Drosophila melanogaster: one gene and its partners. The protein of the gene in region 1 interacts with the protein of each later gene in a pairwise test. Each region holds a gene or a part of one and is shown on either strand. Other genes may lie near its edges.

Region 1 (7,461 bases):
TGCAATGCATTCCTGAACTTAATATTCTCTCTTATCAAACATCCCACATTGCGAGTTATTCTGCGACCGCAACTGCCAGGAGAAAAGTTCGCATTCTATTTTGGGGACCCATCCCATGTACCATCTGCGGACCCATCCCACTCCCATCCCGAGAGGCGTCTGCGGTTCAACAGCCGCTTGGGCATCGCCTCATGCCGAGAATTCGCACAAACTAAACTGAAGCAAGGCAGACCAAAGGCATCGGCATCGGCATAGGAAATGTGCAGCTATTTTTAAGCACTGGGGCGACATTTTTCTTTTTTTCTGCCCGACTCGCCTGCGAAAACACACAAAAATCTGCGAAAAAAAGAGCAGGCCGCACGATATTAATAAAAGCAGCGCTGCTGCTGCGATGGATTGGTTGGATTCGGGTGGTTCCGCTGGCGGTGGGCCTGTGCACTGCATTCGTGATTTCGGCCGTGGAGTTGCACATCGTGTGTCTGTCTGTGGCTGGCCAAAAGTGAGGTGACTTCTTGGCCATTTTATGTAATATATATGCGGTAGATAACGAGTCCTTCTCCCCGACCAGATTTCAACATGAATGTGGAGAAGCTGAAGCGTCTGCAGGCCCAGGTCCGGATCGGCGGCAAGGGCACGCCCCGTCGAAAGAAGAAGGTCATGCACCAGACGGCGGCCACCGATGACAAGAAGCTGCAGAGCTCGCTCAAGAAGCTGTCGGTGAGCACCATCCCGGGCATCGAGGAGGTTAACATAATCAAGGACGATCTGACCGTGATTCACTTCAACAACCCCAAGGCGCAGGCCTCCCTTTCGGCCAACACCTTTGCGGTCACGGGTCACGGCGAGACCCGGAAGGTGGTCGAAATGCTGCCCGATATCCTGCCCCAGCTGGGCCAGGAGACAGTCGTCCAGCTGCGGATGTATGCCAATGCCATGAACAGTCAAAAGGGGGCGCCGGGAAGCGGAGATGGACCTCTCCCAGCGGAGGAGGATGACGATGTTCCCTTGCTCGTTGGCGATTTCGATGAGGTGGCCAAGGTGGAGGCGACCAAGCAGCCAGTACATGAGCCAAAGGAATCTGCGGAGATCAAAGCCAAGGATAAGCAGCAGCAGCAGCCTAAGAAGGAACAGAAGCAGTCAGCGAAAGTGCCGGAGACAACCAATCCCAGCGAGAATCCCAAAGAGAAACAGGAAAATAAGAAGGGTCAGGCCAAAAATAACAAGAAGGGTGATCCACAGACCAACAAGGACAAGACCAATAAAAGCAAGGATCAGGCCAAGGGTCAGCCTGCTCCCCAAGCCAACAAGGAAACGACACAGGCTGCACAAGCTCTCAAACAGAATCCTTCGAAGCCCGCTGTACAGCAGAAAAAGGATCAAGTGCTCGCAGTTGACCAGAAGATTGAAGCCAACGGTGCGATTCAAAAGGCGCAACAACCAAAGCCCGCCGAGACCAAGTCCACTGACCAGAAAGTTGAACCCAAATCGGCAGAGAAGCAGGTGGACAAGGCCAAACCCATTGAACAGACCAAAACCAAAGAGTCCAAGGTGGAACATCCGAAACCAGCTCAAAAGCAATTGGATCAGAACACTCAGGCCAAACCCACGGCGGAGAGAAGTGAAGCTAAGCCAGTGGTACCGACACCAGAACCCCAGAAGTCCGCTCCTCCTGCTGTCCAGACTCTCGCCCAGATTGTGGCTTTGCCTGCGGAGAAACCAGCCAATGAAGCTGTTGCCGCTCCCAAAGCTGAGGAGCAGAAAAAAGACTCGTCTGGTCCAGCTAAGGTAGAGCCAGCGATTACTCCATCGGCACCACAACCAGTCACCACTGCTGAGCCACCCAAGAGTGCTCTCAAACAGGACTCACCTCCTAAGAGCGCTCCCAAGCAGGGATCCCCACCGAAGAATGTTCCAAAACAGGAATCACCACCACAGAGTGCTCCCAAACAGGATTCCCCACCAAAGGGTGCTCCCAAACAGGATTCCCCACCAAAGGGTGCTCCCAAACAGGATTCACCACCAAAGGGTGCCCCTAAACAGGATTCAGCGCCACAACAAAAGACTCCACCACCAGTTAAACAGGAAGTAGCACCAGCTAAGCAGGATGAACCACCAGCTAAGCAGGATGCACCACCAGCTAAACAGGATGCACCAGTTCCAGTTCCAGAAGTTATCAAAACGCTAGCACCGGAAGTCCCCAACGTTTCTCAGGCACCTGCACAACCTCAGGGTCAGGCTGCTCTCGCTTCTGAAAAACCAGCGGATGCGCCAAAGGCCATTGAGGAACCGAAGGCTGCACCCAAGAAGGAATCACCACCACCCACAAAACCAGTGACGGCAACAGTTCCGGTAGCACCTGCCACTCCTGCTGAGGCGCCATCTCCTCTGGCTCCCTCCACTCCGCCATCGACTCCCACCTCGGTGCCGCCCTCTGCAGCGACAGTGACTCCTCCATCTCCCGCCACGGTGACTCCTCCGTCGCCTGCTGTAGTTACTCCGCCTCAGAAACAGTCGGCGGCTCCCCAAGCGGGAATCAAGAAGCAGGAGGCAGGAACGAAGACAAAACAGCAGCAGCCAGCCAACAAGCCCCAACAACCGCAAAAGCAGCCACCAGGAGGAGCAGGAGGATCAGCTGGGCCAGGAGGGAACAAGGGCGTGCAGAAACAGCCGAACCCCAATGCCAAGCCAGCAGTTGCTCCAAAGCCGGCCCAGGCCACTCCAAAACCCGCTGCTGCTTCTCCAAAAGCATCCCCCAACCAGACGAATCCACAACAACAGCAGGGAAAAGCAGCTAACAAAGCGTCTCCTCCAAAGCAAACTGGACCAACTGGGGGGCAGCAGAAGTCGGCGGCGAACGCCTCGAAGGCCACAGCCTCCCCGAAATCGGCTGCATCCCCAAAAGCCACCTCCCCGAAGGCCGGAACTCCTACCAATCCTGCTTCCGCCTCTGGGGGTCCCAACTGATCCTCCTTCAGTCTATTTTCTAATCGGCGCCCTTGCATTTCAAACTCACTCGCATTTTCAGAGCCCATTTTCGCCTTCGTTAATCTCTGATGAACCCGGGTACTAACCGTTTTTTGATTATTTGTGGCCTTTACATTTTTGAATAAAATTATGATTTAACAAAGACTGAAGTGAATCGAGAAATTCTTTCTCAATATCTTTGGTTATTCCATTGCAATGTCACAACAAATTGTAGCCTATTAATCGTTCTCGAGAATAGCATTGAAAATTACGATTCTTTAATTTATTATTAACACATAACACATAGGGAATTTTTGAACGTGCAGCAGCATATGATACTTTGAATTTAGCGCCCCATTGGAGGCACTGCTTATCGATATTTTATCCAACTTTGCCCAGCCCTGGTTCGATAGGTCGGAAAGCCCTGCAATTTGCATGAAAGACACCCAAAATTACTTGTTTTTCGTTTATCCTGGGCTTAACTCGACTTAGCGTGGCTGCTAGAGGGCTTCTCCTCGTCCTTGGGCGCCTGCTCCTTCTCCGGGTTCAGCTTCCAGATGGCGTAGTTCAGAGCCGTCGCGAATCCCAGCCAGGCGACGTAGGGTACGAAGAGCAATCCAGCGGTCTTGTTCACTCGGTAGAACAGAACGCCGCAGGCGGACGCGGCGGCCGTGAGTGCAACTATGTCAATAAGGCCCTGGTGGATGAAGCGGATTAGACATAACACCTGGGCTTGGTGATATCAGCAGTACTCACGCCCTTGATGTTGTGCTGCCCGAAGAAAATGGGCGTCCACGCCCAGTTCAAGGCCAGCTGGGTGCCGTACGCGATCAGGGGCAGTTTGGCCGCCTCGCCGGCGAAGCCTCCGCCATCACGCCACACCAGGTAGGAGCCGTAGCCCATTCCCGCGTACAAGGAGATCCACATCGGCGCAAAGACCGAGTTGGGCGGCTTGAAGGACGGGAACTTAAGGTTGGCGTACCAGCTCTGGAGATGCTGCCTGGTCAGCCGCCCGTTATAGATGCCGCCCAGATTGGGCAGAATCACGGCCCCGGCGATGCGGAGAATGTTTCCAGCACACGGACGATCAGCCATTTTCAGAGTTCGCACTGCAAATGAGGCGCAGTAGTGGCGAACCTTCTGGTTTCACTGTTTTGTTTGCCGGTGATTTCATTCGAATGCACGAGTATTGCGAGTTAACGGGGCGAATACGCGACGGATGATTGTGTGGGTAAGCTCCAGCGATGCCAATTTGGCTAGATTTAAACTAGCTAAAGTATGTGGAATGCAACTTGAAATCAAAGACGCTAGAATTAATTAATAGAATCGCATGGTTATTTAGAGCTGTGAACATTTGATTTCTGCCATGAAGGAATTCTCATGTTTTTCTTTAACATGCTATCTGATTAATAGGGATTTAATATTTATCTGGAATTTTGGCAAAGCTGCAAAGTCATTGCTAAGCCGTTAATAGCTGGTTGTCACATGTGCAGGGGAGGAGCATAATGCTTATCAATAGATTCCAAAATGATGTAATGAATGAGTAATGTCGTCGATCTATGGAAGTAATTATTATAATTATATCTACCCATTCGTATTTATTTAAAATTATCTTCGCTGCTGGGTGTCGGAATCACCCTGTGGGTAGGCAGATTTAACAAAACCCGTTAAGTTTTGAAAATAGAAATAGAACTGTATTGTTGGGAAGTACCATATTAAATTCCCTGGAAAAGTTTTGTTTAGCTTGTTTGTTTGTTTTACCCCATGACAAATCGTGCGATCAAGTGGTGAATGATAACTTGAGAACTCATAAACCAAAGAGTTATTTGTCGGTAAAGTGAATTAATGGTGAAATAAAACTATTGTGCTTATTTGCTCTTTGCAATATCCAATAACCTGGATCAAGTTGGTATCTCAATTAATCAATTGCTTAGGAGCAACCATGACAACCGTTGCTAGGCAAACACATTGTTACTGTGTTTTGGCTCCTGCCAAAACAAATTCATCCACTAAAGGTGGAAAACCGGTGTGATGACTCTCTACTTTGACACGAAAATCGAGTTCTTGGACTCGGATGCAGTGAGCACCATCAGCAGCTGGCATCCCAGTGAGCCGCTCTTCGCAGTGGCCTCTTTTAGTCCCGAAAGAGGCGGTTCAGTGACCATCTTTGCAGATACCGTCAGTATTAATCGCTTTGGTCGCAGACCCTGCCAAAAATCGGAATGTATATAATCTATATAATCAAATTGCAGGGTGAGCCCCAGCGAGATGTAACTTATCCGGTGCACGCCACTTCGCAAGCGACGGCACTATGCTGGCATCCGGAGAAGGCGCTCCTGGCCAGCGGTTGGGAGCACGGCGACATCCATGTGTGGTTCGCTGGTCACAGGGAGTTTGCCAGCGTGAACGCACCGCACAAGGCGGCCATCGTCCTGCTGCAGTTCAGCGAGCAGGGCGGGCGGATGGTCACGGCGGATGCCATGGGCTTGGTCACCGGATGGCGCTGCGATGGCCAGTACCAGTTCCTAACCATGTTCTCCCACGACCTGCGGGAGGTGTTGCTGCTGATCTGCTTCCGCCTTACGGTGGAGAGTGAGGTGCGCGAGGAGATGGCCAATCTAGCCAAGGCTGCTGTGGCAGGCGATGAGAACGCCCTGGACACCCTAACCAATTGGAGACCGCGCACAGCAGCCCGGAGCATGACCCATTCGGGGGTGCGGGACAACCACTGCTTCTACGCTTGCACCCAAGGAGGAGTGGTGTACTACATCAACCAAGGAGGCGCCTGTGTCGAGGTGATGAAGTGCGGATCACTGCCTCCCATTGTCCAGATGTTGTGGCACCCAAGAAAGTAAAGAGCTGTTGAGATCGAAAGGTTCTTTACCTGAACCCTAACATTATTCCATTCTAGGGACGCCGTCATTTGCCTGATGGAGGACTTGACAGTCACCTTGTTTTTGGTTGAATCCACAGGCATCCTTACGGAGCTGGATCGTGTTAAAATGAGCGGACGTGGAGGCGGTCGGCAGGGAGGCATCGCGTGGTCTGGAAACTCTTTAGCCATCATAACAGGTAGGATATATTATTCGATTTTTCACTTCTGTGCTAAATTTAAGACTAATTTTCAGGCGATTTTTTCGTCCGCATTTGGGACATCGAGAGAAGCGACAATTACCTATTGAAAATGGACCTACCCAGTGGCAACCAGCCAGGCTCATCTATGACCACTTTAAGTAATGGCACCATGTCCTCGTCCAACCAATTCTTTAGCCATGACAGCAGCGAAAGCAGCGGCGTTCTCCGCAAGACACCAAAGTACGGCCAGCTGAACGGCGAAATGTTCACCTGCTTGGCATATAGCTCTACGGGACAGACTCTGTGTGCAGGAACGTCCCAGGGGAATGTCTATACTTGGAAGAGGAGCGGCAGCAGGCTAGTCGGTGCCCCCGAAGATGCCTGGCAGCTGACGAACATATCTTCCGTGCGAGGAGCCATCCGCAGCTGCGAATGGGGATACAATGAGCTAGCCAAGCCCTGCATGCTGGTCAACTGCCTTTCCAATGTTTTCATGCTGAAGGAGCAACCTCTGCTCGCCGTTCATACCCGCGAACTGTGGGCAGTTCAGAGGTCAGCCAAATCAGTGCAATTGACGCACTGCAGCGGTCGGGAGGCCATTGTTCAGTCCGAGTTCGCCGTGACTGCCATGGCTTTGAGTGAACTGAGCTTGGTGATGAGTAATGGCAGGAGCATATCATCCTATAGCCTGCAGAAAGTGGAGAAGAGCTTGGATGAGTTCGAGGAGATCCTGCAGACAGTGGAGGGCACAACACCGACGACGGAATCTACCACCACTCCGTTGAGTCTGAAACTCCTGCAGACCTTTGCTGCCGAATGCTTAGCCTTGAATCTGTGCAACCAGAACATATTTTGCTTGGGTAGCAGTGACGTTTTTGTTTACTCCGTGGGAGGGGTAGTGCTTCACCGCATTCAAGCAAGCGATATTGAAGGAAAGATCATTGGAATGGATTTGAGTGGCTGCTATCTCTCGGTATTTACCATGAATGGATATGTGAAAGCTTACGACGTTTCTAGGCACGATCCCAAGCTGCTCTTTCCCAGCAAATCGGGTCACGACATTTTCGATGACTTCGGGGAGTTCATTCTGGTCAAGTGCAATAGCTCCGGCAGCCACTTGGCCATGGTGATAGCCAGTAGCAATTTCACCCCTATATCCACTTTATTCTGCTGGGACTTTGAGCGCAGCAATCTTCTTGAATATGGACTACTGGAGCCAGAAACCAACGCCAAGAAGGAGTCTTCGACAAGTTTGCCGGTTCGGATTTTCTGGGATGCAGAGGAACCTCGTCTCTTGGCTACAGAAGTCAAGTCCATGATTCAGAAGACCCTGCCCCAGAAGAACTCCTTGCAACCCAGTCATTTTGTGCAGTCAAAAGTCGTCCTTTTGTTTTATTCCGAGAAAGGCTGCCTGAATGTCCT
Region 2 (7,092 bases), 4.3 Mb from region 1:
ACTTTCAAGCAGAACAATGTGTGGACACATGGGTGTTACCTTGGTGATAATCAATTTGGTCGGCAATCGCCCACAACGCCACATCAGCAACACCCCAATCCAAGCGTGAACCCATATCCTGGTTCGATTGTTCGTGCGCTGTAACTCAAGCGTTAATTGGTGGCGGTTAGGGAAGGAGGATTCAGTTCGGGGGGGAGTTATTATGTGGTACTAAGTAGCTGTTATATTGTCAAATCATCATGAAATTATTATTCGAATTGGTGGAGTGGAAACATTGGGAATAGGGTCATAAATTGGGCAAAGCTATTATAGGAACTTCTGATTTAAAAATAGGAAGTGATCCTTATTAAAAACTGTGACAGTCATCAAACGAAACGAAATTAGCAACTATTTTAGATTACTTCTGACTCACACAATCTATAATCTAGTCGAGACAAATCGCACTGATAAGGCTTGGCCAAGCGCTCCCCATTAGGCAAGCAAGCAACAACAATTGACGAAAGTACAAAATTAATTTTATTTTTGATTAATTATACATTTAACGAACTTTACGCCCGACGTAATTTCTAGTGTAGAGCATATCACCCTACGAGCAAAAATTAAAGAGAAAAACGACGACTAAAATAAACATGTAAACGATTATGCAGCAGTTGCGCGAGCCGCATTTCAGATATAGCCACTCTATAGTCTATATATATATAGTCATGCCCATTCCGAATAGGGCGTTGTGTTGGTGGTGGTGGTGGCGGTGGCGTTGTCGACTAGCGAACATTGTCATTATGCGTAGACCTAGAGTTATCTTTAACTTACACAGTTCACGATGGTTAGATAGGTAGATGATACGTAGATTACACAGATCGAATTATATATAGCTAAAGCCTACGTTGCGTGTATAAGCATAAATCTCACAAGTTCCAGTCATCGGGCCCCGACTCCTGGCGTATCACGGGCGGGGTTAGCGGAGCTCTCGGTGCACCGGGCACAGGAGTGGGCACCAAAGGCGCAGCTCCGCGCAGCGAGCTGCCGTAATAAGGCGGCGGCCGATGGCTATTAATGCTCGGCGCATTGGAGCTGTGCGTTGACGAGGCGGAGGAATCGCGCACCCGACCCGCATCGAAAACGGGCGCCTGGGCGTAGCGATGCGGATGTCCCAGCTGCGGTGTCTGTGATCGCGAATGCGAGCGATCACGTCGCATTAGCTGCTCCTGTTGCAGCCGTTGCTGCTGCACATATTGCTGCTTGCGCTGCTTGAGCAGTTGCTCGTCCCGCTGGAGCAAACGCTGTCGCTGCTGCAGCTCATACTGCTGCCGCTGCATGGCACTCAGTCGATTGGCCTTGCTCCACGGATTGCCGCCGAAGCAGAGGTTCGATATGAAGACCACCGGCGAGAAGAGACGCAGGGAGACCTCACTGGGTGGATGTCAAATATTTAGTTATTTATATTTATAGATATAGTACAGAAGAGCTTCTCTAAATCGATACGTGCTGGTCACGAACAAAGGAAAAACGAATTACATTACATTACATGAAGACGTCCAACTAAAATTGCGTGATAGTTTGAACATGAACTACATCACTTTCCAGTTTACATTTTCCAGAAGTTCGATTTAGTGAAGCTGGACTGTGTTACCAAACCAAAAACACTTACGTGGTGTCCACAATGGGTTTTGCCTCATTGCCGCTGAGTATGAACAGGGGAAAAAAGATGGAGAAGATGCAGCTACTGACGATCACCGAGCTGGACAGATTTGTCAGCACGGTGAGCGGTATTCCGAAGCCGAAGAAATAGGGCCAGTTCTTTTCAATGTACGTGAGTCGTCTATGTAGCTCCCAGCCCATGTTGAACCACTTGTACTCGAAGGAGTACAGTGAGTAGAGCAGGCACAGATGCACGAAGCACAGCGAGGAGCCCACATATTTCACAGGCACTAGGTTAACCAGCATGCTCTGTACCAGGAACAGCATTTGCACCACCATGCTGAATAGGAAGTCGGCCACCAGTTTGCTAATTCCAGGGATTAGCTGCGGGCGACCCTTTCTCACGCGATACGCGGCATTGGCTATGTCCGCGAACCACAGAGAGCTCACAATCTTGGAGAGCATGAATATGGGCAGCACCCACATCATGCCGAAGAGCAGGGACAGTATGGGATGCAGCCAGCCCCAAACCACCGGCAGGGTCTCGGAATGGGCTCCATAGAAGATGGTAAGGCAGAATTTGAGCGTGGGCAGCAGAGCGTTCTCGAACAGGACGATGCTCAGCCAGGTGAAACCGCCATTGAGCATGCAGCACTTGAACAGCTTCTTGGCGATCTTCTTCTCCCTGTGTCGCCGGATTAAAAATCAAGTGCGCAGTTTAAAATTACATGTACGTGGAATGAGTCTTTGTGTAACACATACCCCTGCGGGTGTTGATCCTGGGCGGCTGGCTTCTTGCCCAGGATCTTCTCTAGCGTCCGCTCGTCGGCGTTCTCCTCCGCCTGCTTGGCATACTCCTCCCGAATCATGGCAGCCGCGGAACTGGGCACTGGTGACGGTGATCTCCTGGCGCGTTCGTAACGATCCTTGTCGGTGCGACGCAGCTGTTGGCGGTGCTCCTGCTCGGCATTCTGGCGGTTCACCTCGTCGTCGATGTGCAGGACCAGTGTCATGCCACGTATGCTGTCCCACAGGCCGTACAGAATGCCCAGGGTGATGTTCTGTGGTTGTACAACGCATTTAGTTGGGCCATTGTCTGTGTGCTCCAAAAGGGCAGTCGCAAACTCACCTTTATCGCCGCCATCTCGGGTGGACAGACCTTAGTTCCTGATCGGGGGCATTACGAAATGGACATGCAAGCATACGAAACGTGTTTAGCTGCTCGGGAGCGTATCAAAATGTGGCAGTGGGTCTTTGAATAAATTTGCGTTGTGCGAGACGAAGACAACATCGTTGGCGCCTTTACACTGCACAAAATAGCGTGCGCCCGCACATTTGGTTGGCTTTGTACCATTTTGAAACTTTAACTTACATACTTATCGCTGTGCCAGTGCTTGCTGATCGAATAGTGAGTGTGCAGAGGACCTAATAATCATTGAACTTTGTGCTGAATTTAATAATAAAATAGTTGTTTTGCTTGGTGTAGGAACACACGGTTGCCACCTGATGCGCTGCGGTCGTTTTGCAGCACTGGTCAGTGATGCACAGGCGGGCAGTGTTGTTAACTATCGATAGTTATGAATTTTACCGTTATTATAAGACAATAAATTGTTGTGGTTTTCAATGGTGACGAATAAATAGTTTTATTTTTCTGCATCTCATACGAATGTGTTTGGTAATCCATTTGATATTCTTAATAAATCGAAGCAAACTTTTTTAGCAAGTGCTTATGTTTCGCAAATCCGTTAAAACGTAATGATAGTAACGGTTTTTCGTAAGGATATTCCCAAGGTAATCGATATATCGATATCAAGAGCTCAATGCCCACTTCCATTTCTACAGCTACAGGTAGGGAAACCAGGTAATACCGACCATTCTTCTCCCGACAGGGGACAGAAATAAACCGTAAGTCCACGACTTGTTGAACATATAGTAGGCGTGATAGGACTTTCTCATCACAATACATTGTTGATAATCAACATAAATACATCAAGAAATATTAAGTAAAGTTTTCCTGGATCGTAAGCCCGCCACAATCGCAATTCGAAAATATCGAATGTAAATAATGCAAAATAAGACCGTGGACTAGTGATTAATTAGTGTGTGACTTCGTTTGTTGACTGCGATAACGGGGCATTTGCTTGTTAATCCCTTTTTTTTGTTGTTGATATACGGCATTTACATATGCCTATTTATTGACGTGGGTGTGTGTACATATCGAATTTATACCACAGTAGAGCTGCTTTCAATACGCAAATAGCGTAGTAAAGCCTTAAATCAGGTGTCAACTAAATGTTATGCGCATGCAAGCGCTTAATTGATTACCCATTAACCGTTAGTCAGCCAACGGACAACGAGATCTTTCATGTTTACCTAGCAAGCACACACTAACGCACACCCACCCGTGACATATATGTACATACCTGCATCTGCATGTGTATGAGTGTGTGTGTGTGAGAGAGGGCGTAAAATGTTTTGTGTGTGTGGGAATGCAATTTTCAATCTTGGCTTTTTTGCAGATTAACCGAAACACCCCCCATTCCAACCTTTCCAATTTCCATCATCTCTGTGTGCGGGAATAATCAATACTGCACAAATACTGAGGCAACAGCAGCAACAACAACAACACGGAATTATGGTGTGGTCTAGTGATAAGCAGCAACAGTAGGGCCACAGCCCGCCCCCAACCCCCCGCCTACCGCCCACCACCCACCACCGGTCGAGGAACAGGAATTCCGGAAAAGAGGAGCAGCCACAAATAGCAATTACCATCGCACAACTCAAATTTCCCGTCAACCCTCCATCATTCTGTCAACGAAAAGTGGCAATAATGTCACGCGAGGAGCGCAAACCCATCGTTAGCTCGTCGAGCAGCAGCACCTGCAGCAGCAGCGATGACGAAGTGCATCCTGTGGTGCGGCGACGCAGCACTCGGGACACAGAGCTAGCCGGTCACCAGAAGGATGCCGGATGCTGTGATCCGACGAGCACGCCACATCGCTTCCTCGCCCTGCTCTTTATGTGCCTCTTGGGTTTTGGTAAGAACGTGAATTCCTTTGCAACAACACTTGGGACCATACCTACTTAAATAACTCCTTTAATAGGTTCCTATTTTTGCTACGATAATCCCGGCGCACTGCAGGACGTTTTCCAAAAGGAACTGCAACTCAGCTCCACCGAGTTCACGCTGATTTACTCCATCTACTCGTGGCCAAATATTGTGCTCTGCTTTGTGGGCGGCTTCCTCATCGACCGGGTGTTTGGCATCCGCCTGGGCACCATTATCTACATGCTGATCGTGCTCGTTGGCCAGTTGATCTTCGCCACCGGCGGAGTCCTGGGCCACTTTTGGTTGATGATCGTGGGACGCTTTGTTTTCGGCATCGGGGCTGAGTCGCTGGCTGTGGCCCAAAACAGCTATGCGGTGCTATGGTTCAAGGGCAAGGAGATTAACATGGTCTTTGGACTGCAGTTGTCGGTAGCCCGTTTCGGCAGCACCGTCAACTTTTGGATTATGCAACCACTATATGGATACGTTTCGAAATCCTATTCCGGCTACAAGGGTCTGGGCGTGGCCCTGTTCCTGGCCTCCTCAACGTGCGTCATGTCCCTGGTTTGCACCTTGATTCTAGGTAGGATTACTTGTGTATTTAAATATCAGTTTATATTATTCGATTTCACGTTTACTTAGGTTGGATGGACAAGCGCGCGGAGAGAATCCTTAAGCGAAATAACAATCCTGGTGGAGAATTGGCCAAACTAAGCGATATAGTCACCTTCAAGCTGGACTTCTGGATGGTGTCCGTGGTATGTGTGGCCTACTACGTTGCCATCTTTCCTTTCGTGGCTCTTGGCCAGGCCTTCTTCGTCAGCAATTTCCACATGACGCCGGATGAGGCGAACACAGTAAACTCGATTGTCTACCTGATCTCTGCTATAGCATCGCCACTGTTTGGATTTGTGATTGACAAGGTCGGAAGGAATGTGACCTGGGTGTTCTGTGCCACCATCTCCACGCTGCTAGCTCACTTCCTGCTGACCTTCACCCATTTGGATCCGTACATCGGGATGAGCATAATGGGACTGTCCTATTCCATGTTGGCAGCCAGTCTGTGGCCCCTGGTTTCATTGATTGTGCCCGAATATCAACTGGGCACTGCATATGGCTTGTAAGATCATTAATCTGTTCAAGCTGTTCAATCCTTAATCGTTCCCTTTGCAGCTGTCAGTCTGTGCAGAATCTGGGACTAGCGGTGGTGACCATTGCAGCGGGCATCATTGTGGACAGCAGCGGCGGCAGTCACTTCTGGCTGCAGGTATTCTTCATGTCCTTCCTGCTGGGTAAGAGTCTAATCTGCTCATATGTATGCGCTGTGTGTTGAATACGAGTTAATTCCATCGCATTTTCCAGTCTCCCTGCTGGCCACCTGTGCGATTTGGGCCTACAACCGCAAGCACCAGGGCAACTTGAACATGTCACCTGCCCAGCGGGCCACATACCACACCTCGATGTACGTGAATATTGAGTCGAGTTGAGCATGCTATTGATGTCTTGCTGTTGTGTTCTAATCCCATATCCGATGATGACACTTCTCCACTTCAGCCCCTGACTAATTAACGTTCTTTTTCTAAATGTATATTTGCTTTGTGTACATGCCAAAAGCGCGATGCAGTGCCGCCACATGAACAGGCGGCCTTTATTGGGCAACTATGTGCAATAGATCGATTCTGTTTGTTACTAACCAATAACCAATTGCGATGCTAATGCCATTTCCACTACACTTGACTTGTTATGCAACTCGGAGCACATTCTGCTAGCCGCACAATCGACGTGGTCATTCGATCTATTTTACTCCTCCTAGCCAACGTTCTATGATGATACATATCAAACTTTAAACTATTGTTATATTTATGTTCCATTGTGTGTGATAAATAAATTTATGTAAATGTACATTAACCAAATTAAATAACCAAAGATTTGGAGTTTTGGGCGAAAGAAGGTGTGTTTTGATCTTGATTCCATTTTATTTCCTTGCAAATATCTTTTTGAAGAATATATGATTTGTATTTGTACAAAATAAATAAAATAAATTAACTAAAGCATAAACAGAAATTCAAAGAATTTGGTGTGAATTTAACAAAATAGTATACAAATTTCTATGATGCATAGACTAGAGAAAACAAAATACAATTTCAAATCTTGAAAAGTGACATTCAGCGCAAGTCACAAGAGAATTACAAAATAATAATAATAAAACACATAGATGAATTAATACATTTCCATTTCCGTTTTGAGAATTATTTGGTTGGGAGAAACAAAGTTTGCGTAAGGATGAGAAACAAATTTCCAACTAAAAACGTGTCATTCTCTATTGAGTTACTAAAAATGCATTCCATTTCATTTGGGCCATATTATCAAGTTAGGGCCGCTTCGAGGCTTTTCATTTAGCTGCA
Region 3 (5,181 bases), about 18 Mb from region 1:
TATTTTTTCTTTTTCAAGTGAGAGTGGAAATAATTTTAATAATTTTGTGTGCCAAACACCGGCGCAGATGCGGTTTGTGACACTTCCTTTAATAAACAACAGCGTTAAATAATTGAATTTCCACTCTCCATCGCTAAGCCGCTATTAATGAATTTTTAATTAGCGTGCTTAATTTAATTAGTTAATTGATAAGGGAATCTTTTTTATGTACTTTGCTTTGTTAATCTCTGTGATGTATGGAGCTTTAATGTGTCACTACAACATTTGTCCTTTATACATCGACAAACAAAATGCGTATTTATTTTGCAGTTAAATGGCTTGAATTCGTGATTCTTTCGTTCACTTTTGTTTGCTTATCTCACACAAAGCCCTTTATCTGGCCACCTTGTTTCGCTCTCTAGATTACGTTCATTTATGGGCCGTAAATAATTAGTTAATTGAACCGGAATTATCGGAAAACGTTAAAAGCACTGTCTAGTCAAAAATAAAACACATGGATTATGGGATTTCTTTCTTTACTTTGAACTTATATTAAATCATGATTTTTTGTTCTTAGCGCCTAATCAGTAAAGCCGCTTCCTTTTTAGTTAAGCTTTGCATTTGCTAGCAGAACACAGTTCGATTGCCACTGTTTGAAAACAGAACGTAGCTCGTAAGTGCGATAACGCTCTAAATTAGTCACGACACGTACATATTATTTCACCGCACTTTTATAGACTGCACCTCCAGCCAAATCATCACAGCGGCTATAGCCACATATATAGCCACGATCATGAAGATCTGCAGGGGACTGGCGGTGAAAACTTGGACCACCAGCATCACGGTTCCCAGAATAAACACCCCGGACAGGAAGCTGACCATCAGTATGGTGGACCAGTTGCGAAACCAGGCGTGCTTTTTATCCGGCGGCGGTACAAAAATCGGTTTCAGCGGGCTGTACTCCTTCTTATACTGAGTCTCGTATCCGCTGGTAAAGTCAACCTCATCGTGGTACGTCCCCGGACCCGAGGTTCCAGCCTTAGTCTCATCCGTGTCCATTTCAAAACGCGTTCTGCTCTCGACTAAAGAGCGATTCGCTGGTCTCCGGGCATTTTCAGCGGTTTTTTCCTTCCCTCTTTTTCATGATTACCAATCAGTTTGGGGTCTGGGTTATTATCGCCACGGCAGAAGGTGGTAATTGAGGCAACAACAAGGCAAACAGTGAACCGTCAAGAGCTGACAATCTTCTTTTTGTTGCTTGTGACTCAGATAAGATAACTATATAAGTCTGAGAAAACCCGTCAAACGAGAGCGGAGAAGAGTCTCAAAATGACAAGAAAATCACATTGAAGTAAGAGATTGCGAAGAGAGATCAATTTGTTCTACGTTATCAATTTATGCTTACTTACGAATCATCAAACCCTATCAACTTTGATAACAATCTATTAAAAGCGATAAATGTTTTACATTCATATATTAGGCATTTCAGTACTTATATACTTCTGGCACTCTGTTTCCGTCTTGAGAGATTCTCTTTTTTGTCAGTTTCCCCGCTTTCAGCTATCTGAAGCTCCTTCTTCAGTTCCGTCGCCGGCTTTAAAGGCTCCTTCTTGCCTTGCCTAACCAAGCGACATTGAGGGCTTTCTTCGCCGTGTTTCGTTCTTTTCGACAAACAGCAGTGCTTTGCGGATCATTTAGCTTGAACAACCCACAATGCCACCAATTTCAGCGTATTTTTTACCTTTAGAGATCATGTTTTTAATCAAATTTCTTTTTTCGACGGTAAAATGCTTGCCGCGACCCATGACTAGAGAACTTTTGGTCTTCGTTTGGAAAAAATTCAATTAAAACCTTTAATACAACTCCTTTTTCAAAATTTGTCGAAAAAAACCCAAAGCAATCACTCTATTATTCAGCAAATACGTGGTCAGTGCTATTTTTGTTACCGCCTCATTTCGCGCACTTTTGCAGCAAGTGCCCAAAAACAAAAAGAACCTTTACATTGAGAGACCATAAATTTCTTGCTCAGAGAGCCAACATATGGTACTTATTATTCATGCAATCTGACTTTAAAAAATATAAACATTTAATAATTATTTTTAGGAAATGAACTTTCCACCTCCAGTAGTGCTATTATTTTAACCGCAGCTGTATATATTTCCGTCTTGAGAGGTTCTCTTTAATGTTGTCTCTTAGTTTCAGTCAAATTCTCTGAAAGCTTTGGTTTTTACTTACAAATACCCTTTCTAGGGTTCTTATGGTGAGTTTACTCCTCTCAGAAATTTTCTTAAATAATTATTTTATTAGTTCATATTTTTTCTTACACTAATTTTAGTTATTTATCTAATGAATGTACTTGTGATCTCAGACTTACTTTACAGATACCTCTTATATAGTTTTACTTAGGACGGTAGTCCCTTAAAAATTTGTCAATATATTATCATTTTTAATGGTGCAAGCTGCATACGATCCGAAAGATTTTAGTACAGTGTGCCTCCGTTCTTGAATTCGATTCCCTTGAATATTTTTTCATGTTTGCAGATGAGTGCCTTCATCCAGTTTATACAGAGCCTTCAAGCTGAAAAGATCAGAGTGCCTCCAAAAAAATGGGGTATAATACTTATTTGAAAGTATTTCAAAAGCATTAAAGTGATAATTTGTTTATTTAAAGTGAAGAAAAAGATGTCTTATTGGATAGAGATAGTTGCACCCTCAACGGAGTGGACCAAGAACAAACCGATGCGATTCATAACGACTCTAATATGGAAATATTAACTGAGGAAGACTCAAGGCCATATACTTTTTTGCAAAACTTTAATTTCGTTGGCTTATGTGTTCTTTATAATTTTTGCATGCTTTTAATTGTTCTGTCCATATACATCTACAAACGATGGAATTAAAAAAGGGATTTTAAAATGATTTTGAGTACGTATCAAGCGCTAGTTAATTTGATTGCATTATGTATCCTGCTTAGCTGGGCTAACTTGTTTGCATTAGAAGAAAATGAAAGCTGCCTTCTGTCCTAAATGTACTTAAACTTCAGTCCACTTTATTGCCACCAAACAATTTAAGTTGTTGACAAAGTCATCAGCATGCATCAGTCAGCGGTTTTTAAAGAAAGTGCAGAGTCGGCGGAAAAAAATATGAGAAAACTCGCAGTTGCCTCTGTGGCATTTTTAGTTCCTTCAGCGCATCAACAAAACTTGTACATCTTGCTCGATGATCTACTCCGGATCTTGTTTACCGATTGTGCAACAATGTGTTCACTTTTAAATAATATCGAAAATCAGACTGTCTACTGTTTGTGTTTTTTTAATGGGAGATTGTTACTTTTATTTTTCGAAAGGTACACTAAATTCACTTTATCATTTCGATGCATTCGAATTAGGCAATTACTTACCCAGTGTGAACTTTTCATATCAACCCGGCTTATAGATAACCCCCTCGAGTTTGGCCCAGTTCTTCGCACCTTGGCCAGGGCTCATTATTCAAAGCTAAGACTCAGATTAAATGGAAAGCGATAGAATGACTGGCGGAGTGAAAAATGCTAAGAAAGAATCAAAAATTCATGAGGCGGTGCGCGCGAATTATAGCGACTTACTTGATGGTTTAAAGGCGCCCTTGCCGCGGCTATTCAGCTTTTTAGCTTGCCTGTTTTGCCCGCCAACATGCGTTTGTTGTTGCAAACTTTTTCCATCAAAAGTTTCGGTTTTCGATACGCCTGCTGCTGGCAGCTACCGATCCCCATTACCCATTCCTTATTCCCCGCTCCCATTTTCCATCCCCCCATCCATTCTGAAATTCCGCTCCAGCTTCAACTGGGAAAAGTGCCACTTCCGCTTTGCGTCAGTGCACACGGCTGCCGAGCACAAAAGTGTGACTGAAGTGGCTGAAACCAGCTCGATTTTCCCAGCCCATTTCCCGCCCACTTTGGTGGCGGCTGCCGAGGCTCAGGTGTTAATTAACTTGGGGGCCGGCACTAAATTTTAAAACTGCAACTTGCCCAAAATTAATGAGACTGACGTTTGTGCGAGTTACGAGCGAGCTGGAATTATAATTTCGGCATGGCGGACAAACTGCAGAGCAGGCTAACTTTCAAGTGGTCGGCAAGGATGCCCGGAGATCATGAATATTCATCAGGACGAGACGCAGCGTCCAATGTTAAGCCGTAAGCTATTGGTTGTTTCTGTCTGTTATACACGTGCTTAATAACATCTAAGCCTCTGTAAGCTATATTGAATCAGGTAGTTAATACGGATAGTAATATTTATAGAACAATGAACATTTGAAATCCACCCCAGCACCCCGTACTCGCAAAGTAAAGGGATATAGTAGATTCGTTCGCTGCACAGTTTGTAACAGGTAAGTGTCTTATGCATATTCATCAGGATCTTTTCCGTGTCTATCTGTTCGGTTCATCTGTCCGTTTTAGCGCTTTAATTTTGGGAACTGTAAAAGTACGAAAGTCCAGGTAGGCAGGCTTTTCAGAAGATTGCCACGCCCACTCTAACAACCATAATTGTCACGCCCACACACAAAATAATCTCGACAATCGTAGATCCGGCTTATCAGTTAATCTTGTTAGCCGAATGTAAAATGCATATTCAATTTTGGCATATATAATTCCATTTCAAGTGCTTCTCATGTTTGCCTGCGTGTTTGATTAATGAAGCCCCCAAGTTAATTACGCAACTGTTTGAAATTCACTTCCCGTTGATTTCTGTACGCCATCGATCTTTGGCCGTAGAGTGTCAACGGGGAATGTCGGCCAACAACTGGCAAAGGAAGACGTGTACAAGGACGAGTATAGCTGCCAAATGGCAGCAGAAGGCAAGTGAACTGTTGAGCTCAGTGCATGACACTAAATCAATTGGGCCAAGTGTCTGTTGTGACATATTCAACTAATGATGACGGATCTGGCATGCGAGGCACTGACTCACACACATATGGCCACCAGTCGGAGGACGAAGGATTAGTTCTGAGTCCTGGTCTTGTCCTTGTGCGACACCGTAACTAATTTCCCTGCCGGTCACTTGTTGTCTCCACATCAAGTTAAGCGTGCAGGACAACTTGTCACGGACACAGCTCCACTTCTCTGCTGAGTTTACACGCCATGCCGGTGTGCTCATTATTTATTAATTGCATTTAATACTGATGCAAATAAAGCACATCTCGGTAACAATTTTGCCAGGGTCACTGGAT

The links. Proteins that work in one complex are often made in the same cells at the same time.
Region 2: the proteins of Tspo (region 1) and tank interact in a two-hybrid assay, tested with the Drosophila melanogaster proteins (one large-scale study listed by BioGRID).
Region 3: the proteins of Tspo (region 1) and CG15152 interact in a two-hybrid assay, tested with the Drosophila melanogaster proteins (one large-scale study listed by BioGRID).

The regions. Positions count from the first base shown.
Region 1 is NT_033779.5:556,297-563,757, reverse strand, and holds Tspo (translocator protein), read right to left. Parts: upstream 4,147-7,461; 5' UTR 4,060-4,146; coding exon 3,721-4,059; exon of another isoform or gene 3,662-3,720; coding exon 3,443-3,661; 3' UTR 3,235-3,442; downstream 1-3,234. Other genes in the region: uncNacbeta (putative nascent polypeptide-associated complex beta subunit), read left to right, coding at 577-2,964; rempA (reduced mechanoreceptor potential A), read left to right, coding at 4,996-5,142, 5,217-5,815, 5,876-6,036, 6,093-7,461.
Region 2 is NT_033779.5:4,834,835-4,841,926, forward strand, and holds tank (tank), read right to left. Parts: upstream 3,166-7,092; 5' UTR 3,015-3,165; exon of another isoform or gene 3,011-3,014; intron 2,946-3,010; 5' UTR 2,783-2,945; coding exon 2,768-2,782; intron 2,700-2,767; coding exon 2,401-2,699; intron 2,324-2,400; coding exon 1,649-2,323; intron 1,411-1,648; coding exon 906-1,410; 3' UTR 501-905; downstream 1-500. Other genes in the region: CG12194 (uncharacterized protein), read left to right, coding at 4,469-4,676, 4,743-5,270, 5,330-5,807, 5,861-5,979, 6,050-6,149, 6,302-6,359.
Region 3 is NT_033779.5:18,110,540-18,115,720, reverse strand, and holds CG15152 (uncharacterized protein), read right to left. Parts: upstream 1,175-5,181; 5' UTR 1,039-1,174; coding exon 700-1,038; 3' UTR 501-699; downstream 1-500. Other genes in the region: CG44476 (uncharacterized protein), read left to right, coding at 2,586-2,590, 2,651-2,879.